Nothobranchius furzeri: one gene and its partners. The protein of the gene in region 1 binds, or shares a complex with, the protein of each later gene. Links are inferred from orthologs where the notes say so. Each region holds a gene or a part of one and is shown in the gene's direction. Other genes may lie near its edges.

Region 1 (7,018 bases):
AATTTCAAAAATACACATCCCTGCAGCTGAATTTCTCAGATTTTATAACAAAGATGTGAAACCTTCTGAGGTAGTTTTTTTTAGAATGAGGAACAAGAAAGTTCATCTCTTGAGATGACTGCCACACTCTGTTTTCTTTCTGATAGGTGGCCTACAGTTTTGATGCCGGGCCCAACGCGGTGATCTTCACCTTACAGCAGCACGTTCCAGAGTTTGTCCGGGTGGTTCAACATTTCTTCCCCCCAGACACGAACGGAGAAGAGTACGCTAAATCCAGAAACTTGTTTGTTAGTCTTCTTTTTCAGATTTTTTCCCCATGAAACTAATTAGTTTGCCATACCTATCGTTAAGAGTGGATTCAGAATGCATTCAGCTCAAGTTTTTTCTCATTTGAACTAAAGAATATTACTAAATTGAATTATATGGTCAATGATTCGAAGAATGTGAGCCTGTTTTTATAGACTGTTCATGCCAGGAAAAAAGTCATGACCTCAGTCCAATAAGATGAGATTGTTTAGGTAAGACTGAGCGATACCGAAAGACCAGTTTTGTCCAGGAAAGCGGCCAGGATCCATGTTTATCATGCTCAGATTTTTTTCTGTGGCTCAAACACATATCTGTGCAAATTAGAATTAAACTAGACCCATTTGATTAAAATTAGAGGCCGGCTGATATATTCAAATTTTTCTGTATCAGCCATCGGCCAAAGTTATTTTAAAAAGCAGATTAAAAAAAATCAGACACCTATGTGGCCAACTGCTACCATTACAAGACTGAAGAAAAGGCCTAAAAGACCTCCAACACCGTTTTTTTAATGTTTTGAGTTTGTTTTATATTTGAAGTTCAATAAATATTAAATTTATTGACTTATTTCATTTATATTGCACACAGTGAGAGTTCAGTTGTCTTTCACAACCAATGTGCTGCTAAAACGTGTAAATAACAGCCTTAATAATCGGCTTTAGATATTGGCCATTGGCAACAAAATTCTTTAAAACTCGGTGTCGGTATCTGCCTTAAAAAGAACACATCGGCCGGCCTCTAGTTAAAATTAACAACTTAAACAATCAGATATCTTCACCCCACGCAAGCTGGTAGGACCTAACTCAACATTTTATTAAAGAGCCAGAAAGGAGCTGCACATTTTTCACTTTGCAGGGCTTTGCTGAGAATAATATATTTATTATTGGTCGGGTGAAACCAAAGATTATTTGCACCGTTTCTGGTGAACAACAGGTAGTTCTTGTCATCTGATCAGGGAATTTGATAAATAGCTGGATCCATGTGGGAAAATTCACAATAAAAGTCTAAAAGGCAAACTTTCCAAGGAACTGCTGAATGTTAAGTGGTAGAAGAGAGCTTTCACACGTCTGTTTATCTTCAGCTTTATTAAAGGTCTTCCAGTCAAAGGTGCTGCTATCTCTGAGGAGCTGAAAGAGGCCATTGGTCTGGAGCCCACACCAAATGGGATAAACTACATCATCAGTACAAAGGTTCACAGATACTCAGAAATCAATATGTAACCAACAGAGAATGACTGATCTAATGACTTTATCTTATCTTGTGATTCTTTTCAGGCTGGACCAGGTCCTTGTATCATCGAGGATTCCTCTCAGCACCTGCTCTCACCTGATGGATTCCCTAAGAAAGCTTTGTGAGACTCCTGAGGAAACAAGTTCACGAGCAGTGATGGAACCTTATTATTGAATCTAAAAATGTAACAAATCAGTCTTTTAGATCAAAGTCAGGCCGGCCCAAGCCTTTGTGGGGCCCTAAACTGGTTTCTCTTGGGGACCCTCCACACCAACAAGTCTACACTAGATGATTCATCATTCCCAAGCTGCACCATTATAACATGCCCACTATTATTAGCATATTTTGTAACTGGCTTACATCAAACCTGTGTTATTGTGTATATTGATTTTAAGTTTATCAGAGCAGAAAACCACCAAAAATGCTCTAATTAGCCTTTTTAAATGAAGATTGTTATTTAAGTGTGGTATATTAATTCAGCTATAGAAACATCGGCAGACAAACACTGAATTCACAGTAAAAATTTTAGGTTTACTATCTTTTGTTCTTAAAATTTGTAAAGAGTGCTGCACTACAAAATAAAACCAAATGACACAACAGAAAATAATACAGATACATTGTGTATTATTTTTTCATGTGGAATATTATTTAGTTGGTATTTAAATTTATTAAAACATTTTTACTTGTGTCATCTTGATGCTCTTGGGGGCCCCCTGGTGATGTGGGGGACCAAAGAAGTCGCTTAGTTTGTATCATAGTTTGCATATGCCTTGGACCGAGCCTGTCCAAAGTGCAATCTTTGTTGCATCAGGTTTGTTAATGAAACGTCAGTAAAATGTATTTTAGTCTGAATGTTATCAGGTTGTCTTATTTTTTATTGCTGTTGCTACTGTAATGTGTTTGCAACACTGCTTTTTTTTATTTGAGTATTGTTCAAGGAGGTGGGGCGGTATGAGGGTGACAACACTGGTACATTTCTGCAAGTAGGTCACAGGTTCGAATCCCAGTTGAAGCCTTTCTGTGTGGAGTGCATGTCAGTTTAATTGACAGCCATTAATTGTTCCTAGATGTGGATCATTGTGTGGCTGGTTCTGTGTGTCCCAGTGATGGCTGAAAAACCATCGCTGGTGACCTGTCCAGGGTGTCTCCCCCACCTCCTTCCCCCTGGAGATCCTACTGTGGAAAAAAACAGGTGTAGAAAACGATGGGAATGACAAATTTAACAACAGGTAAAAATACTACGCTAAAAGTAAAATCATTGAAAACAAAAACGATACAATGTATTTGTTTAAAAGAACAAAACCCACACTGACAGAGTGCAATGTGCTGCGTTCAAGTACGTCCGTATTTTTTTTTCGGCCTTTCGTCGCACCTGTCCGGGAAGTTGGATAAAATTAACCCCTCCTCTCGACACTCCTGTACTATTTATCGGAAATGACGACTGAAACGAGAGGCCAGCCTCCTCCCAGCATCTGTTCAGCTCCTCACGTAAACACATTTCGTCCTTGTAGAGATAACAGCTCTGCTCGCAGGTGGACACGATGGGGAAGATAGAGTGGGCCATGTGGGCCAATGAGCAGGCTCTGGCTTCGGGACTCAGTGAGTATTTTAATAACTTCGTCTGAAGTGAAGAAGAAGAAAAAAGTTTATTTTCACGTTTTCTTTTATTTTAATAATTTATTTAAAACAGCAGTTTTTTAATTTACAAAATAAATCTTTGCTTTCCTGTAAAACGATTTGTTGTAAATCGTTGTCCAGTTGCACATGGGCTTGTCTCATTGCATGGAGTGACAAAAGGTATATTGTTAGATTTTCACCTTCCTGTTTCCTTCTTTCAGTTCTTCTTGCTGGAGGAATAGTGGGGGTTGCAGGGCAGTTCAGAGGCTGGGAGTTTGCTGCTTATGCGGTGTATCCTTTATAATGAAATAAACCAAACCTGTTCAGGCGAGTCTTTAAATAGCACTGTTTTTATTTCATTTATTCTGCTGCTATTGGGAAGTTAAAGCTGTGTAATTACCTATCAGGCTTAATAGATTTGATTAGCAAAAGCTGCTTTGGTGGGGTAAATCAAATTATATTTATTAGTGTAGTATCATAGTTATAATAGTTTAACCAATAGCTGAGTGCACAATTAGGTCTAAAATGACACGAAACAGCAGCTAACACTTAACACGATGGGCAAATATGTATAAAATATTCATTTATTTTTAATTTATTAAACACTTTCCTGTATATTGTTGCTGTCGTGGTTACAAATATTTAAAAAATTAGATTTTTGTACAACTCTTGTTTCTACAGCTGGTGTTTCCTTATGATAAATGCAAGAGTACTTCTTTATCCCAGTTGTCGTGTTTTTATCAAGGATTCCAGTGACACCTTGTCGAGCACCCAAACTCCGACTTTTATTGAATCACTTCCCCTCTCTCCCCCTTCACCATAAAACCCAGTTACACTCAAACAGATTACACCACATCCTCCTTTCGCTGAAACATCAAACTTACAAGAACGTTTACGGCATATAAGAACACTGTACTTTTTTTCTTTTCTTAGAACCTTTCATAGAAACTTTTTCAGATTACACCACACCAGTTAAGGGCTATTGTTCAATTTAGACTGTCCAAAACTAAGTTTTTTTCGTTGATGGAAACATTCACTTAATCTCATTTTTAGACGTCCTGTTAAAACTTATTATTCACTCATGAAACTCATTTCTACCAAAATTCTGCATAAACTTCTTTCATGTGATTTTAACTTCTTACTGAATAAAAAAACAGAGTGATTAAAGGTTCATTTATAAGAAAGGCTGATCGTGATCATTTGAATGGTTTTTTAATCACACTGATGGCCCATTTGGCATTTTTTGCTAAAATCTGTAAAATGGTGGAAGTAGCATCCTTAACCAGTAACAAGTGCCGCCGGAGTGTTTGTGTGTCTTCTTGAGTATCCCAGAAGCAAGCGGGCCAAAGGGACAAGTGTGGAAAGATCGTAAGCAATGTTGTTGTTTTTTTTCTGCAAATATGTGTTTGTGAAGTTCTGTCTTTACTGCACATTATTACGATTATTGTGTTCTATCAGGGGCCAATACTGCTTCACAGTGTGTGTCAAAGCCTTCGGACCACTAACGAGGAACTACTATGTTAGAGCGTTCCTGCACGCTGCGTAAGTGTGAACTCAGCCTAAACAATTTGCTTGATTGACTTTGTTATCTTAACCATCTTCCTTTGGCTAGACAACATTCCTCGCCAGTCTCTTGAACAAAACCCTTAGAACATCATGGCTGTTTGACTTACACTCCATCATCTCCATTGTATTTTTAAGAATCTGTGTACCTGGAGGGTTTATGCTAGCAACTGTGCTCGGGTGTGTCTGCCTCGGCATCGCCAGCCTCATCTACCTTGCAGTAAGTTGGAGGCTTGACGAGGATTTATTTTTCCCGTTAAGCTTTTTAATTACCGTGAACTTTGATAAGCATCGAGAAAGGAAGTGGTGAACGAGGAAGAGAATGTGTCGCACTTGTTCCTCAGTTGAGACATGTCCCTGTAGTTTTGAAACGCTACCAGTCAGGGGTGTGCCTGAATTCCTCATCATCTACTTTAAAGAAAAATAACATATCTGGCTTTGTTTATCTCACATTGGCACACAAATGTGAGCATTAAACAACTTTGCATACAAGGGGCTCATTAAACAGGATGGATAACATCCACCCATTACAGACACTTTCTTGTCTTCCAGGCAGCGATCCGAGGTGAGCACTGGGAGCCCATTCTTCCTCGTAAGGATGTGCGAAAGCCAGTTGCTGAAAGTATCAAGAATCCTCCCCAGAATCCACCGCCAAGACCTCCACCAGAAACTCGCAGGAAACAAGCCAAGGACCTGGAGGGAGCAGCATACGACAACCCTTCCTCTGTTACTGACGATTAGCGAGCCGCTCAGCAGCTCCATCATTTATGTCCAACAAACCGGTCCCACCAGATTCAGTGGCCATACATGAACAGTTTTTCTGAAGTCTTTTGAACGGAGCCAGTTAATGAGCAAAATGTTACATTTTTTTCAGAAAAAAAAGTTATTTTTTCTCTCTTTTGTGGAAGAAAAAATTCCATTACGCAAAATGTCAAAAGGTAAAATGAACAAATTCTGAGTTTTCTTTGTATTTTGACATTATGGTAAATGTGAATGTTAAACTCTGTTTCTGTATTTTTCCCAGTCAAGTAAGTTTTTAAGATCATTCATGCATCTTACAACTTAACATGTACTTGATCTGTATGTTTGCGCTTCCCTTGAAAACACTGAATCACTGTTCAGTTGTATCAGAATAAATGCATACATTTATTTTTGGCTGCATCCAGCTGCTACTAACATTTAAAAATACGTGTTGCTAGCTAGGGTTGTAGTAATCATAGTTGCATTGTAAATAAATCATCTGCTTTCTTTGAATCATCTTCTGGAGGTTAGTGATATTATTTTCCCCTTTTTGAAATTGTTAAAGAAGCGACATTTGCAACTTCCCCCTTTGGCAAAAACAGTATTTCAGTAACTCAGAATTTCCCTTTCTCCTCTCGGGCCTGTTTTCTTCTCCTTGGCTTTGTTTTCATAAGTTTCCTTTGAGGGAAAAAATGTATGTATTTATATGTCTTCAAGTCAAACAGGTTCAGCAGCTCAATCTCCATTTCTTGAGTCTTAAAGTTATTTGTTTCTGGGTTTTGTAGTCACAGCTGATTAGTCAAGCAATTACAGCCTGTTGGGAAATAACAGGTGCTTCCTTAATCAACCTGGGGTGGTATGAGACCTAGCACTAAAATACAAGAATTGTAAGTAGTTTGCAACACGTATAACATTTTATACAGTCTGAGTTCATTTTCCTGTGTTTTCCCCAACTGTTATTCTAAGCACAAGGAACTAGTCACATACAATATTTTGATGACAGTTGGTGAGCAGGAAGTGTTGTGTAAGACTGTTAAAGTAAAAGTTTGGTGGAACAAAGTAGTTTATAAAGTAGATTTCATTCAGAATAAATCTGTCCACAAACACAAGACAATATGACTTATTTCTTATATCAGTCATTCAAACGTATGCATGTTTTAAAAGCTATTTTATCAGAATGTTTGTAGGCAAACATATCTATACTACATGTTCCAAACACAGTTTTGGTCTTTAACTGAAAGCATGTCCTTATGGTTTTGCCTGTTTTGTAATTGGCATATGTTGTTTTGATGATTTGGCATCACTTCTTTTATTTACATGGTCTTTGTTTATGTGTTATGTTTACATTTTTAGTTTATAATTTGATTGTCTTCAATATTTGACCATAGTTACCTTAAAATGCATGTACTGAACAAGCATTATAGTTTTCATCATGGTGGTGTGCATATTCATATTCATATATGAACATGCACACTATATATATATATATATATATATATATATATATATATATATATATATATATATATAATCTGTTTATTAAAAGGTATTTGTGTTTCTCTGT
Region 2 (7,259 bases), on another chromosome or scaffold:
ATTGGCCTGTACGTAAACATTAACAGGTCACCTCCAGCTTGTGCGTAATCAAATGTCTCTAGGGAGTTTGCTGAAGAGGTTATGAGGTTCTGGGCTTTTGTTTCAGACAGACTTGTGGATGTTTAAATGTTGTTATGGATGAATCTGCGGTCCGCTGACACGCTGGATTCAAGGCAATTGCTGGATAACAAGCACTATTTAAGCCAAAGTTTAAAAATCTAATTATTTAATGACACATAAACAGAAGTATACCAGACTCTCGGAAAGATAGAAGGGTTTCCACTCAACACTGCGCTATTGTGCACGATGTCGAGTGCGCCAGACGCTCTCTGAGCTCCCTTCAGCGCACTACTTGGGCACACTGTCAGCAGCAAGATAAGGAGAAAGTGTGAGATTATGCTCAGATGCACTGATAGAAATCTTGATTACCTCTGCGATGTTCTCTGTGCATAACATGTAAAATATCTGCGCACCTGCAGGAGTCAGTAACAAATTTACATGGCTGCTTATACTGAGCCAGGATCCTCTGGAGTTTATTCCTGTTAAAATGGAGTTTCCCTCTCCACTGTCGCTAAATGCTTGCTTAGTATGAGGATTGCTGTAAAGACTCTGACACTAGTCAGTGACTCGATGCAACCTGCTGGGTTCCTTATATAGGAAACTTTTTACTTATTGGCTGTGATTAGAATGACATTTGATAAAATAAAATAAAAAGATTTTCGGTTATCTTACAGATTTCTGAACATTATAATACAGCAACAAGGCAGTTTGGTAGAGTTTAAAATAAAGATATCTATTTAATAGACAACTAAATGTGACTGTGGCTGATACATCTGTTTAATTATTCATTTTGACAGTTTCAATGCTTCAGATAGTCTAGAGTGACATAAATGCAGTCTTGAGAAGCGGATCAGTGCTGACCATAAATCAAGATGTTTTGTTGTGATGTGAGGATGCATGAAAGCATTCAATAATAAAAAGTTGCTGTGGTACAATAATGTAGTCTGTCAAGCAGATGCAGCACTTTGGCTACAAAATGCTTGAGAATGTAAGCATCATTAAGACATACATATATATATATATATATATATATATATATATATATATATATATATATATATATATATATATATATATATATATATATATATATATATATATATATATATAAACACCAACTTAACAGTTTGTTGATGTTTAGCGCAAAGATGACTGCTTTAAATGCATAATAACAAAGTTACTAACCGCTGTCCAGTTTGACGATTTGGGGCATTTTATATGCACTGACAAGCTGATCCAAAGGTAAAGACGTTGAGCTCCAAGTAACATCTTTCAAATTATTGTACAACATTGTTCCAAGGTCCATCTTGTTAGCTCACATTAGCCAACTCTGGAGCTAGCTGTGTGTAAATACGGACACAAAAGGGTGCTCCGAGCTACCAACACAAATAATATAGCAACTTAATCTAAACAGTCATACCAAACATGACTTATTTCTTGTTAATCCTTACATAGCTCCAATTTTCATTTGTTCTACGCATCATAAAGGTTCGTACTCCGAAAGTGTAGTAGAGCCATGTTTGTTTAGCTAGCGATGAGCTAACGGATAAACGTTTTTACTCTATCAAAATAAGAGCATTTTATACATTCAAGTAAAGAAGATACGTTATTATTGAAAGGCGAAATCGTTGAATTCCTTGAGAATATATAAATACACATTTATAATATGATGTTAGTGTTGTAAGAAAACGCACCAGTATTTTGTGATTATAGTCATGTCACAAGAAATTTATTTTGAAAGGAAAAACCCGGAAGTTGTTTTTGTGCATTTGGCACAAAAACACATCATATATTTACTAAATAAATATTGCAGCTCAATAAATTTAGAATTATTAAAGAAGAACAAACAATAATCTGAACATTACTTATTTCAGTAAAAATGTCTGAATGTCATCAAAGTTAAGGTCGTTACAACACTGGAAATCAATTTGAGTTTTGGATTTAACATTGTCAAAGTGCCATGTTTGTTTGTAAATTTACAAAATAAAGTTAAAAAATAATTATTTAAAAAATACTAGAAATCAATTAGATGTGAAACATTTTTCATTATGCATCTCAAGCTTTTCTGCTTATAAAATGCCAACGTTAGTTTAGAGCTAAACACACACACACACACACACACACACACACACACACACACACACACACACACACACACACACACACATTTAAACCCACAATTTATTCAAAGATAGAAAATCTCTAGAATCTAAATCATAAAGCTTTTGTTAACTGTAGGCTAATATTGATGGAACTCAAATAGAGCATTTGACATACCAGATAAAAAATAAACACAAGACCATCTGAAAAAGTAGATATAAAAATATACATATTTCCTGGACACAATGTGCAAATTGTTTGGTACATCAGCAGTAAGTTAGAGTGCAATTATTGCACTGAACGGGAGAAAATAATTTAAATGTGGCTTTAGCACTTAGAGCTGATTGTGATGCATTTGTAAATCGTAACAGCTGTCATCACACTTCCCAGTTTCACTGGTACAAATAAGAAGAACTTCCTCAATGTAGAATCAGTGTGCTGGTAAGCCAACAAACATGTCTTATGTGGACACTCTGCGGCAGTGGGACAAAGCTGTAACTTGTGCCGACAGACAGGAATGGTCAGAAGCCCTCTGCATTTTCTTATCCATTCAAGAACCAAATTCCAAAATTTACTTTGACATTGGTTGCCTTCATCTTCTGAACCAAGACTTGGATGATGCTGAAAAGGTACGTTAGATCTACTTTATTTTAAATCAAATCTGCAAGTCTGTGCACGTAAGAAAGTAAAATCATCTGGATTTATTTGGCAAGGCTGAGATGAAACGTGTCAGATATAAGGAGCCCTCCGGTTGGCTCACGGGTCCCCTGAACAGATCAAACAGGATCAGAAAATATTCAATTTCAATTTTCTTGGCAGCTGAGGACCCATGGTCCGGAAGGACGTGACTTAGGCTCCCTATAGAGGTTTCTGAAAGTGCAAGTCACAGTGAAAGAAGAAGTGGTGTCACCGGCTTTCTGCTCCTTTAGAGGAAGTTATTTTCTTACCTGTTATTTCTCAGGCGTTTGACTGCAGCATTCGCAAGGATGAGCATTTGGCAGTTGCCTTCTTTCAGAGGGGAATGACATTTTACAAAAAGAAAAGGTAAATTACATCAAATGTTTTATAAAACTTGCCTTATGTGTAATAATTATTACCTTTACTTGTCTTGGTCACAGGTATGAGGAGAGTTCAGCTGATTTCCAGAGAGCCTTTAAAGCTCTGAGGGGTAACCAGCTGATCGATTACAAAGCACTAGGTCTCAGATACATCCTATATGCCTGTGAGGTGAGCTTTAGCTCTACTGTCCGTCAGAAATCTGAGGTTAAAATAAAGCTGGCTGATGATGGTAATTCCTCATTTTCAATGTGATTTATATATTCTTGCAAAGAGGAAACCGTTGAAGCCTCAGCTCTTCCTAATTCAGTTTTCAATATGAGGGCTTCAAATAAACCTGATAAGACGGTGTGACTGAAAAGCTCCTAACTCAGTGTCACGTCGACACCTCCTGCTTCAGGTTCTCCACAATCTTGCCCTGGCTGAAGCTAAGCTGGGTAGCTGGGAAAAGGCCCAGGAAAACCTGGTCAAGGCACTGGACTACAAGACAGATGCCAAGCTCAGCCTCATCGACAGGGCTCTGCAGTCAACCCTGGTCAGTTACGATCATCCTCTCATAAAATACGGTTACACTTCATTAATATAATTCAATTACACACATCCACATATGTTTAGAAATCAACATTTTATCAGCATAGGTGTTGGCTATTTGGGTTTTGGAAGGAAGAAGATACAGTGGGGCAAAAAAGTATTTAGTCAGCCACCGATTGTGCAAGTTCTCCCACTTAAAATGATGACAGAGGTCAGTAATTTTCATCATAGGTACACTTCACCTGTGAGAGACAGAATGTGAAAAAAAATCCATGAATTCTCATGGCAGGATTTTAAAATAATTTATTTGTAAATCAGGGTGGAAAATAAATATTTGGTCAATAACAAAAATTCAACTCAATACTTTGTAACATAACCTTTGTTGGCAATAACAGAGGTCAAACGATTACTATAGGTCTTTACCAGGTTTGCACACACAGTAGCTGGTATTTTGGCCCATTCCTCCATGCAGATCTTCTCGAGAGCAGTGATGTTTTGGGGCTGTCGCCGAGCAACACGGACTTTCAACTCCCTCCACAGATTTTCTATGGGGTTGAGGTCTGGAGACTGGCTAGGCCACTCCAGGACTTTCAAATGCTTCTTACGGAGCCACTCCTTTGTTGCCCGGGCGGTGTGTTTGGGATCATTGTCGTGTTGGAAGACCCAGCCACGTTTCATCTTCAAAGCTCTCACTGATGGAAGGAGGTTTTGTCTCAGAATCTCACGATACATGGCCCCATTCATTCTGTCCTTAACACGGATCAGTCGTCCTGTCCCCTTAGCAGAAAAACAGCCCCAAAGCATGATGTTCCCACCCCCATGCTTCACAGTAGGAATGGTGTTCTTGGGATGCAACTCAGTATTCTTCTTCCTCCAAACACGGCGAGTTGAGTTTATACCAAAAAGTTCTACTTTGGTTTCATCTGACCACATGACATTCTCCCAATCCTCTGCTGTATCATCCATGTGCTCTCTGGTAAACTTCAGACGTGCCTGGACATGCAATGGCTTCAGCAGCGGAACACGTCTGGCACTGCAGGATTTGATTCCCTGCCGTTGTAGTGTGTTACTGATGGTGACCTTTGTTACTGTGGTCCCAGCTCTCTGCAGGTCATTCACCAGGTCCCCCCCCCCCCCCCCCCCCCCGTGTGGTTCTGGGATTCTTGCTCACCGTTCTCATGATCATTTTGACCCCACGGGATGAGATCTTGCGTGGAGCCCCAGATCGAGGGAGATTATCAGTGGTCTTGTATGTCTTCCGTTTTCTGATAATTGCTCCCACAGTTGATTTTTTCACACCAAGCTGCTTGCCTATTGTAGATTCACTCTTCCCAGTCTGGTGCAGGTCTACGATTCTTTTCCTTGTGTCCTTCGAAAGCTCTTTGGTATTGGCCATAGTGGAGTTTGGAGTCTGACTATTTGAGGCTGTGGACAGGTGTCTTTTATACAGATAATGAGTTCAAACAGGTGCCATTAATACAGGTAACGAGTGGAGGACAGAAAAGCTTCTTAAAGAAGACGTTACAGGTCTGTGAGAGCCAGAGATTTTCCTTGTTTGAAGCGACCAAATGCTTATTTTCCACCCTGATTTACAAATAAATTCTTTAAAAATCCTGCCATGTGAATTCATAGATTTTTTTTTCACATTCTGTCTCTCACAGTTGAAGTGTACCTATGATGAAAATTACTGACCTCTGTCATCATTTTAAGTGGGAGAACTTGCACAATCGGTGGCTGACTAAATACTTTTTTGCCCCACTGTAAGTGAATCTTCTAAAATCCCAAAATCTTTCAAATTAATTTAAGTAATACTTTTCAATATGTGTTTTTTTTTTCTGACAGAAACAAAAGCTTTTCAAACCGGTGGAATTCCCTTTGAAAATGCTGTTTAGACCAAACAAGCACTATGTGGCTGAGCTGGAGAAAAAGGACTACCTGGGCAAAGCTAAGGTATGCATATAACAACCAGACCAACAATCACAGATTTTAACATAATCCATTTTAATTGTGGATTATTCAGATTTACAGATATATATTATTGATGAAGAACGGCATAAAACTCCATTTAAAATGTATTTTTCGAAACATTAGGTTGTTTCCTCTGTGGTTCCACAAGATGAGTTCTCTGGGTTTGCCCCGCTACAACCGCAGGTGAGGAATCAAATCAAACTGAGACCAATAAAGTCCTCAGAAGATAAATAAATGTTTCATTAGCCTCTAATATACCAGGGCAGATCAAATCCACTCATGACGAGGGGAAGTCTGAGCAGCGTCATATGTACATTAGTTCTTTACGATGTGAAATATAAAGCCTTTTTGCAATGGTGGTTAAAAGTGAAAGTCCTGTATTTTGTTAGGTCGAAGATGGTCCAACTTCTCCAAAAGAACCAGAAGTTTTGAGGTCAGTTTGAACATGTATTAGATTTTCTTTTGCTGTGATCTGAAAGTGAACATGTCCCAAATAGATAAACCAAACAGCAGATAAAATATAATCATCATATTCTAATTGTTCTGTTTCTCACGAGGACATGTGGACATCTCGTCTCCACAGAGCTCTACAAGGAGAACCACACACCGTGCTGTTTGAGTTTGACCCTGAGACCAGTGATGAGTTGGCTGTTGTGCCAGGAAACATTGTGTTTGTGCTGCAGAAGGGTGACGACAACTGGGCCTACGTGGTCTTCAATGAAAGAGTAGGACTAAAATCAGGGATGGGCTGAATTAGTAATTTATGTTTTTAAGTTCTATTGATTATTATCCAGTATGATGTCGATTACAGAGAGGACTTGTTCCTTACAATTACCTAGAGCGTTTGGAAATTTCCTTGGCTTCAAATCAACACAAGGTAGGGCTGCTGTATCAGTGACTTCCTGTTCGGCATCATTTTCTCTGGACATAGTCCAGAAAAACTCGTTGTTCTTTAAAATTTACTTAGGCTACGTTGAACAGTATGGAAACTTGACTTCTTTAATGTTTTTTTTTTCCTTTTCCCATATTTTGATTGGGAACAATTATCAGGGTTTAGCCAGACCTCTGAGTCAAGAACCACCAACCAGACCTGAGAGGAAAGGTAGATCTCACAACTACACATTTGTATTAATGCTGCCATTAATTTGTGTAGCCCAAGCTGAAACAGTCCCCTAACCATACACGACCCCTGGTTTGGGTATACACTATAAAACCTGCTTTTATTCCCATATTTTTCACAAGACTGATCCATTTATCACAAGGTGATAAGAAGTGAAATATTTTTGTTGGGTAATAAAATGTGATTTACTTTTATCTCATGCAATACATACAGTGGGTATGGAAAGTATTCAGACCCTCATCATTTTTTCACTGTTATATTGCAGCCATTTGCTTTTTTTCCCCTCATTAATGTACACATGGCATCCCATATTGACAGAAAAACACAGAATTTTAGAAATGTATGTATTGAAAAAGAAAACCTGAAATATCTCATGGTCTTTAGTATTCAGACCCTTTGCTGTGAGGTGCTTTCCATTTCTTCT
Region 3 (7,032 bases), on another chromosome or scaffold:
AGGGTTTTACACTGTTTTCACCATGCTTACAGTTTTTCATTAGTTTGACCTCTTTTCATTTCTTTTTTAGTTTAGTTCCCCAATTCCTTTCCTAGTCATTTTTTTATTTATTTCCAGCTTCCTTTGCACATCTGATCCTAACTGACTTCTTTCAGTAATCATGCATCCATATGTAAATCACTCAGGTTGTTTCTGGGAGTGATGCTACATCAAAAATACTTTTGTAAATATTCATTGCATTTCACTGACATTGTGCAAACACACCAACTTTCATTTTGTCTTTAAAGTGGACCCAAAAAATAAAAAACTGTGGCTTTTGAGGTGGCTACTGTGTTCTCTACAAGAACCTTGTCGTCCCCAAACTTTCCTTCTGCAATCATCTTACTAGGTCAGTCTTCTCGAACTATTAGCTGAAGGTAGAGAGCTGACTTCAGTGAAAACAGATTTTACGATAAGAAGACAGAAAACAAAGTCATGGGATTACATTTATCAGAACAGATAAAGCAACGATGAACTGAGTTGTGTTAATAAAGTTAAAGAGATGGTAACATGGGTGCACTTCCTGTGAGACGAGTAAGTTGTTTGTCCTCACGGACCTAACCACAAGACTTCCACTTGGCCACCCTTCCTTTGCAAAACCTGATTACAGCGATGCATGTTTATGCTGGAATCTTCTGAATCTCTGAGTTGTGCCTTTAAAAAATGAATTATACAGATATCTAATTGAAGACAACTTCTATTTTTGTATTACTGTCAGTGACGCACGGTCTTGTGAGTCTCTCTTCTGCATTTTGGCTCACAACAGTGTTTTACAAAAACAGTTTGCATGTCTTTTTTCTTCGCTTCTCTACCGCAAGCTGTCAGTAACAAGCGGAAAACCTTTGCAGCCTTAGCTCTTTTTAAACACAATCGGTTATTAAAAGGCCCCCGTGGCTCAAATTTGAGACACTGGAATGTATACAGTATAAATGCATTTTGATGTCTAATTATTAGGGAAAGCAAAATGACAATGAATGCTGATAGACTAAACAGCTGGAATTCAAATAAAAAGTTTTACTGATATTTTGGGGTGTCATTAATGCCATGAAGTTCATTATTTTGTTTTTACAACGTGATTATTTTTTTTACTGTTTTGCTGAAACATTTTCTGACATAGTATCCCTAATATGTCAGAAAATCTGATTTAAGTTTCAAGCCACAATAATAAATAATCCCACTTTAGGAAATCAGGGAGTTGAAACATTTTTTTCATCGCAACGTTTCAGCAAATATCTTAAATAATCATTGTAAAGCAAGAAAAGATTAAATCAGGTCTTACCCATTTTAGAATCTGTCATTTATATCCCAAAACAAATGAAAAAACAAATAAATGACAGAAAACTCCCTTGGCAACACAGTTGAGCATTAGGCTGCTTCAGCCTCCAGCGCAACAACTGAATGAAATATTTAATTACTTGAAGCCCCACCTCTTCCTCTTCCACGACAGGTTCACATGAGCACAAAGACAGACAATATGACCATCCTTCAGTACAAAAACATCTGGTTTAAGTACGCCGTGCAGCCCTGCACGTGGTCCTGAATAAATGATTCACTCAGAGCTCTAATACTGGGACTTTGATGTAAAGGTAATAAAGTGGGTTTTAATCTGGCATCATTTAGTTATTATAGTAAGAAATTTCTATTGTGTAAAAAATTAATCAGATTTTTCTTTGTTTTGAATATTTTTATATTTTTGTTTATCTAGAAATAAAACATTATTAGGAAACATTAGAAGGAAACCAGTAGATTACATTATGACCCAAAAACTGAAAATGAATGCCACCTGTGTTTTACAGGCCATTTTACCTTTCCCAGTCTAGGCTTTATCGTGGTGCCAAGGCGCCACCTGATGGCCACACCATGGTGTTACCTTCACCTCTGGTTTGTGACTACAGATGGTGGCTTTGAGTCTTTGTTTTGCTAACACCAAGTGTCACTCTAAAAATAACAAACCTTTGCGTAAATATAAAAATAAAGTGTAAATGCAATCATGTTTTGCCTGTGTGTGTGTGTGTGTGTGTGTGTGTGTGTGTGTGTGTTTTATGGTAAGCGACTCCGGTGATATTTTTTTAGTTTATTGTCGGCATCCATAGAAGCGCAAACGAAGTAGTAAGTTTCAGATAAAGCTGTTTTTATCACTTCAACTCCTTCCTCATTTTGCTCCGTGCAAAATTAAATCCATTTCAGCTTAAAGTATTGTTTAATTAATTCCCATAACTGAAATAGTGAATGGTCTATTTTAGGAGGAAAACTACACAAACAAAGGAGTAGAGGAAGGCAGGGTGAGTTATAAAACAACAGGTGGGGAGGCTGTCAAAAAAGAGGTAGCTCAGAGAGCGGAGAGGGAGGGAGGTGTGCAACAGTTTCCTGTAGTTGCATGCTCAGCTCTGAAACTTCCTCTGTCAGAGAGAAGAGGCGACGCTGAGCAGAACAGGATGCAGGCTATCAAGTGTGTGGTCGTAGGAGATGGGTACGGCTACATTTTACTTCACTTTATTTGTCCTAACTTAAACCGTGTTTACAGGTACGGAATTGGTCCCGATCATTCATGATGGACATGTTTGGACCTGAGTTCAGAATGTAGGAACTGGAGGACAAAATTGTCAAATCAAATAAGAGTTGCATCTACTTCCGCAGTGTCTGGATTCGTTGGGGGTAATTTTCTTGTAGAACATGTTGGTCCCAAGGTGTTTGTTTGACAGCACCGATCAGAGAAGTGGATGAGCTGTGCAGGTCACAACATGTAGAAAATGCTTCTGAGCAGCAAACCTTTAGCACAGGCCCCCTTTCTTCTGAGGAGGAGCTGAGAAATGTCAAGAAACAGCTGATTAAGGGGAACACCAGACAGAAATAATCAAAAATACTGAAATGTGAACTTATTTGGCTGAAACGGTGTAGGAAAGTTTGAATTGTGTCAGTATCCACTTTATTAACATGTCTCCATATTTAAAGCACAAATAAGTAACAGTAAAGAGACCATTTGTCATAAAAAGCCACATTAGTTTTGTGTCTAAGAGATCAATAACAGTTAGAGCGATGGAAGAGCCTCTCAGGTGCTGAAGCTGCTCTTCCTTGTGTGCTGAGCTTCCTGTTGTGTCTGATTTAGAAATGTAAAGCGAAGAAGAAAAGGAAGTTAGTGTGAACACGTGAACTTGTGTGCGTGACAGAAGCTTGGTGTATCTTTAGGTATTTTTTAATAAATGTGTACACATGGTCTCGTTCCCTCAAGGCAACAGGAATCAGAACCGCAGGGTTAGGTGGGGGGTCGCAGAAAATGATAATGAAGAGGAATTTGTGTGGGATGATTATTGGGTTTTTGATCAAAACAAACACATTTTGAAAACATTTTTTTCCGACAAAGGTCATGAAGTAACTTGTTAGAATTAATTCTCGTAATTAATTAAGACAATCTGTCAGTGGAAACTGGTGATATGAGTCATTTCTGCAGCACGCTGACTAAAATCCAAGCATCTCCTGTAGCAGAGTTTTGTTTTCTTTTCTTTTGTCTGAGTTTGTAACTCCACCATTTCAGTTTGAGCCTTTGTGGTGGAAACCCTTTAAAATAATCCTAACAGCTGGGATGATGGAGGAACACGTGTTTGCTGGTCTGACAAGAGGAAGCTTGTGTTAGGTTGGAGGGAAGTGTGTGAGTCTGTAGGTAGCCTTTGTGTGTAACTTTTTAAAATGTATTTACAGTTATATGTTCACTTGCAAAACTTTGAATTTTAACTATAAAATCAGAAGTTCATAAGTTGGCAGCTTGATTAAAAAAATAATAGATCACATGTTCTGGTTAAAAACATTGTAAAAACTTTAATCCAGAGATTTATAGTCACACCTAACATTCATGACTCACCCAGCTTAACTCGCAACGGGGAAGGCTGTTGTTGGTTTGGCGTGCAGGAAACAGCAGTAAACGTCTCAGCTAGGAGAAGCTATCTGTTAGCATTCGCAAGTCCACCACATGGCAGAACTCCTTCAGGTGTTATTTGTGAATAAAACATCAACGTTGCACAACAGAAGCAGTGGTAGGGTTGCGTTGCTGTTATCCAATCAGAGGTGAGATGTCCAAATATCAGGATATAAGACTCCAAATCCTGCTGAAGCTCAGCTGTGATGTGGCAATCTTGTAGTTCCTGCACGAAACAGGCGCGCCAGAGCTTTGTTTCCCCAGAGTACGATTCACAAGGCATTCATTACTACTAGAGGCCACTGCAAATGTATTAAAACTGAGCGAAGGACCTCGTTAAGTCAGAAACAGTGATAACACCACTGGAACTTAACTGCAACAGAGGTATTATTTTAAATTTCTTAGACTAAATGGGTTTTTCCATTAGTTTAAGAACCAATGTCCACCTAATCACCACAGATACTTAAAGTAAACATGAGGCAATGTAAATGACGAATTGTAAAAAGAAAGATACAACTTTACAAAGGGTTTCCCTTATGAGTGGCTAATAAATAGTTTATAAATATGTTATTAAGGACGAGAAAGAGAACACTATTTTGGCTCACCATTTTGACAGAAGCTGGTCACTTTTTTCTCTTTTCCCCCTTTTAAAGTATAATAAACACTGACCATAATTTATTGTGTTACAGATTTATTAATAATTTAAAATTTTTATTTATTAGCCATTTATAATTAGAGCCACAATGTAAAGCAGTAAAAAAATAATTAGTTTGATAAGAACGGAATTTTGTTCTGAGTGAGAAATTATGACACACCAAGTCTTACTGGTGGTATTGTGTTCAGATGTCGTCATGTATTCCTGTGATGTAATCAGTTGTGCAAAATTAGATACCGGTAATACACGTGACCTGGAAGACCATTTCAACTAAACTATTAAAGCTCAATTTTAACTATTAAATCTGATTTTTTTAATAATCTCAGTAACTGTGAGAAACAAATGAATAAACTCCACACAAATATAAAAAACATTACTTTGATTATTTCTTTGTAGACCATGTTACAAGTGCTGCCAAATCTCAAACTGTGAACATATTTATTTTAAAAATATGCTGCAAAAAATTAACCTAGCAGTGTTAATGGTCACTGCTCAGGCTACAGCTAAACATGTGCATAACAAACATCTTAAAGGGAACATATTATGCAAAAATCATCTTTTCCATCCTTTAATGCTGTGACATGTGTCCCTATTGCTTGTATAAATGCTCCAAACATTAAAAAACATCCATCCATCTCTCAGTTTGGTTTAGAAATTATGCCCCTTAAAACATGCTGTTCCAAAAAGTCCATGAATCTTACGTTTTTTTGTTTGTTTGTTTGTTTTTACATGGAAACACTCCTCACCTCTTCAAGTTAGATGATTAGCATCTTTCCTGCCCTTGTCAGATATCGGAGCTTCTCAGCTTATAGCAACCAGAGTGGGAGATGGGTAGGCATGGGTGGGCGTGGCCAGCTCTAGCTTGTTTTCTTAAAGAGACAGTGTGTAGTTGTTACCATTACAGTTTTTATCAATTGCTAAAACTCTAAAATCCATTGACTGAAGAAAGTTCTCAGTTGCTTGAACTCATTAAGCTAACCGTTGAGCCTGTTGTCAAAACCTTAAACAATTTCACACGGTTTAGCAAAACTCTAAACACATTCTCATTCTTAAAACCCATTCTGCACTCTAATGTACACGTCGTCCATAATGGTAAACACAAGTGGCACACACTTACCCATAACAAGAGCACAAATGTCATTGATTGAACACAATCAGTCAAATTAGATTTCACTTGTTTCAAATGACGTGACGACCAATATAAGCAAGTTCAGAGAGCAAACAGGTTGTTGAAGGTGGGAATGAGAAAGTGTGACAATGGATAGAAGAATTCATGTGAGAGGACAAGGACGAGTGTGTATGCGAGGTGGGGGATGAGGAGGAGGGCAAGAAAGAGAAAGAGGAGGATGAAGAGGAAGAGCGAGACAAAGAGTGGAAATGTCCAATGAAATTTGAGCAACAATCATAGACCGTGTTGTTGTCCATGGGCTGACAATGAGGGAAGCAGGACTTGGAGTGCAACCCAATTTGAGCCTCAGGAGGGAAAATATTGCATGTGATGTCGATGAAGAGCTGTGGCCTGACCCAGCCCACAGACAAGAAGAGGCCCATTGATAACATGTTTAGTCCTTTGATGTTTTTCATTTTATGTATTTTTTTTCACTGTCATTGAACACTGTAGCACAATAGGCTCTATATGGTACAATAAACAAATCTTATGGCCCTGAACATTGTGCTTTCTATTTTTTGGTGTATTGTTTACTGACTGCTTGATGGTGTATGTCATTTTGAGTAATTTGTTTATGATTTGAGAGTAGTGTTTGATTTTGAGCACAGCTAAAACTGTTTTGAGGCAAAAGTTTGATTTTGCAAGAGGAATGAGAGGTTTTGTAAATCGTGCTTGAAGCTGAGGTTTTGTGTTTAATGTTTTGAGAAAAGAGAGCAAGGTTTCAGGAATTGTGCTTTAGCAATTGAGAAAAACTGTAATCTCTGGAAATATCCATCAAAATGTTGTTGAAAAATGTTGGTGGCTTTGTAATATATAACCATAAAAATCGGGTCTAAAGTAGATTGGAGCGGGTCAAAGTCTCTGAGCGATGCTTGAATAGTTGCTATGTTTCCTTATACATGAGCCCATGATGACTAAATGCATTTACTGATTTGTAACAAGCAGTTTCTAAACGTTGTTTCACACATTTACCTCTTCGCTTGTTGCCAGTGATGAAAGACAGTCTGATGTGCTTGTTATTTGGCTGGAGGTTAAACAATCTGATGAAGTATTCAATTCGAAAATTGCACTGCCAAGGATTTTTGACCCAAATGGGCTTCCGTTGGTAAGGTCTTTCTCGAATACAAAAATGATTTAGGCATGTACTGCCCCCATCGCCAGATAAAATACACACTGGGTGTGAAATGTGCAAGCAGAGAGGGCAACAAAGTAATGAGTTTGAGAAAAGATCTAAAAGTCAACGTTGAGAGCTCGGTTTGG

The links. The genes of interacting proteins can lie anywhere in the genome.
Region 2: cyba (region 1) and ncf2 share a complex: the UniProt entries of both Homo sapiens proteins name them as parts of the phagocyte NADPH oxidase complex. The link is inferred for Nothobranchius furzeri from reciprocal best matches to the Homo sapiens genes CYBA and NCF2.
Region 3: cyba (region 1) and rac2 share a complex: the UniProt entries of both Homo sapiens proteins name them as parts of the phagocyte NADPH oxidase complex. The link is inferred for Nothobranchius furzeri from reciprocal best matches to the Homo sapiens genes CYBA and RAC2.

What each region holds. Positions count from the first base shown.
Region 1 is NC_091749.1:57,595,697-57,602,714, reverse strand, and holds cyba (cytochrome b-245 light chain), read left to right. Parts: upstream 1-2,977; 5' UTR 2,978-3,074; coding exon 3,075-3,132; intron 3,133-3,371; coding exon 3,372-3,441; intron 3,442-4,443; coding exon 4,444-4,518; intron 4,519-4,608; coding exon 4,609-4,692; intron 4,693-4,851; coding exon 4,852-4,933; intron 4,934-5,265; coding exon 5,266-5,454; 3' UTR 5,455-5,972; downstream 5,973-7,018. Other genes in the region: mvda (diphosphomevalonate decarboxylase), read left to right, coding at 147-262, 1,385-1,493, 1,578-1,658. UniProt on the Homo sapiens protein: Subunit of NADPH oxidase complexes that is required for the NADPH oxidase activity that generates, in various cell types, superoxide from molecular oxygen utilizing NADPH as an electron donor.
Region 2 is NC_091747.1:36,773,947-36,781,205, reverse strand, and holds the start of ncf2 (neutrophil cytosol factor 2), read left to right. Parts: upstream 1-2,593; 5' UTR 2,594-2,615; coding exon 2,616-2,789; intron 2,790-3,121; coding exon 3,122-3,204; intron 3,205-3,278; coding exon 3,279-3,387; intron 3,388-3,616; coding exon 3,617-3,751; intron 3,752-5,589; coding exon 5,590-5,697; intron 5,698-5,838; coding exon 5,839-5,898; intron 5,899-6,104; coding exon 6,105-6,148; intron 6,149-6,298; coding exon 6,299-6,440; intron 6,441-6,526; coding exon 6,527-6,592; intron 6,593-6,747; coding exon 6,748-6,817; intron 6,818-7,259. Other genes in the region: garem (GRB2-associated and regulator of MAPK protein 1), read right to left, coding at 1,246-1,366. UniProt on the Homo sapiens protein: Subunit of the phagocyte NADPH oxidase complex that mediates the transfer of electrons from cytosolic NADPH to O2 to produce the superoxide anion (O2(-)).
Region 3 is NC_091744.1:130,522-137,553, reverse strand, and holds the start of rac2 (ras-related C3 botulinum toxin substrate 2), read left to right. Parts: upstream 1-2,366; 5' UTR 2,367-2,474; coding exon 2,475-2,509; intron 2,510-7,032. UniProt on the Homo sapiens protein: Plasma membrane-associated small GTPase which cycles between an active GTP-bound and inactive GDP-bound state.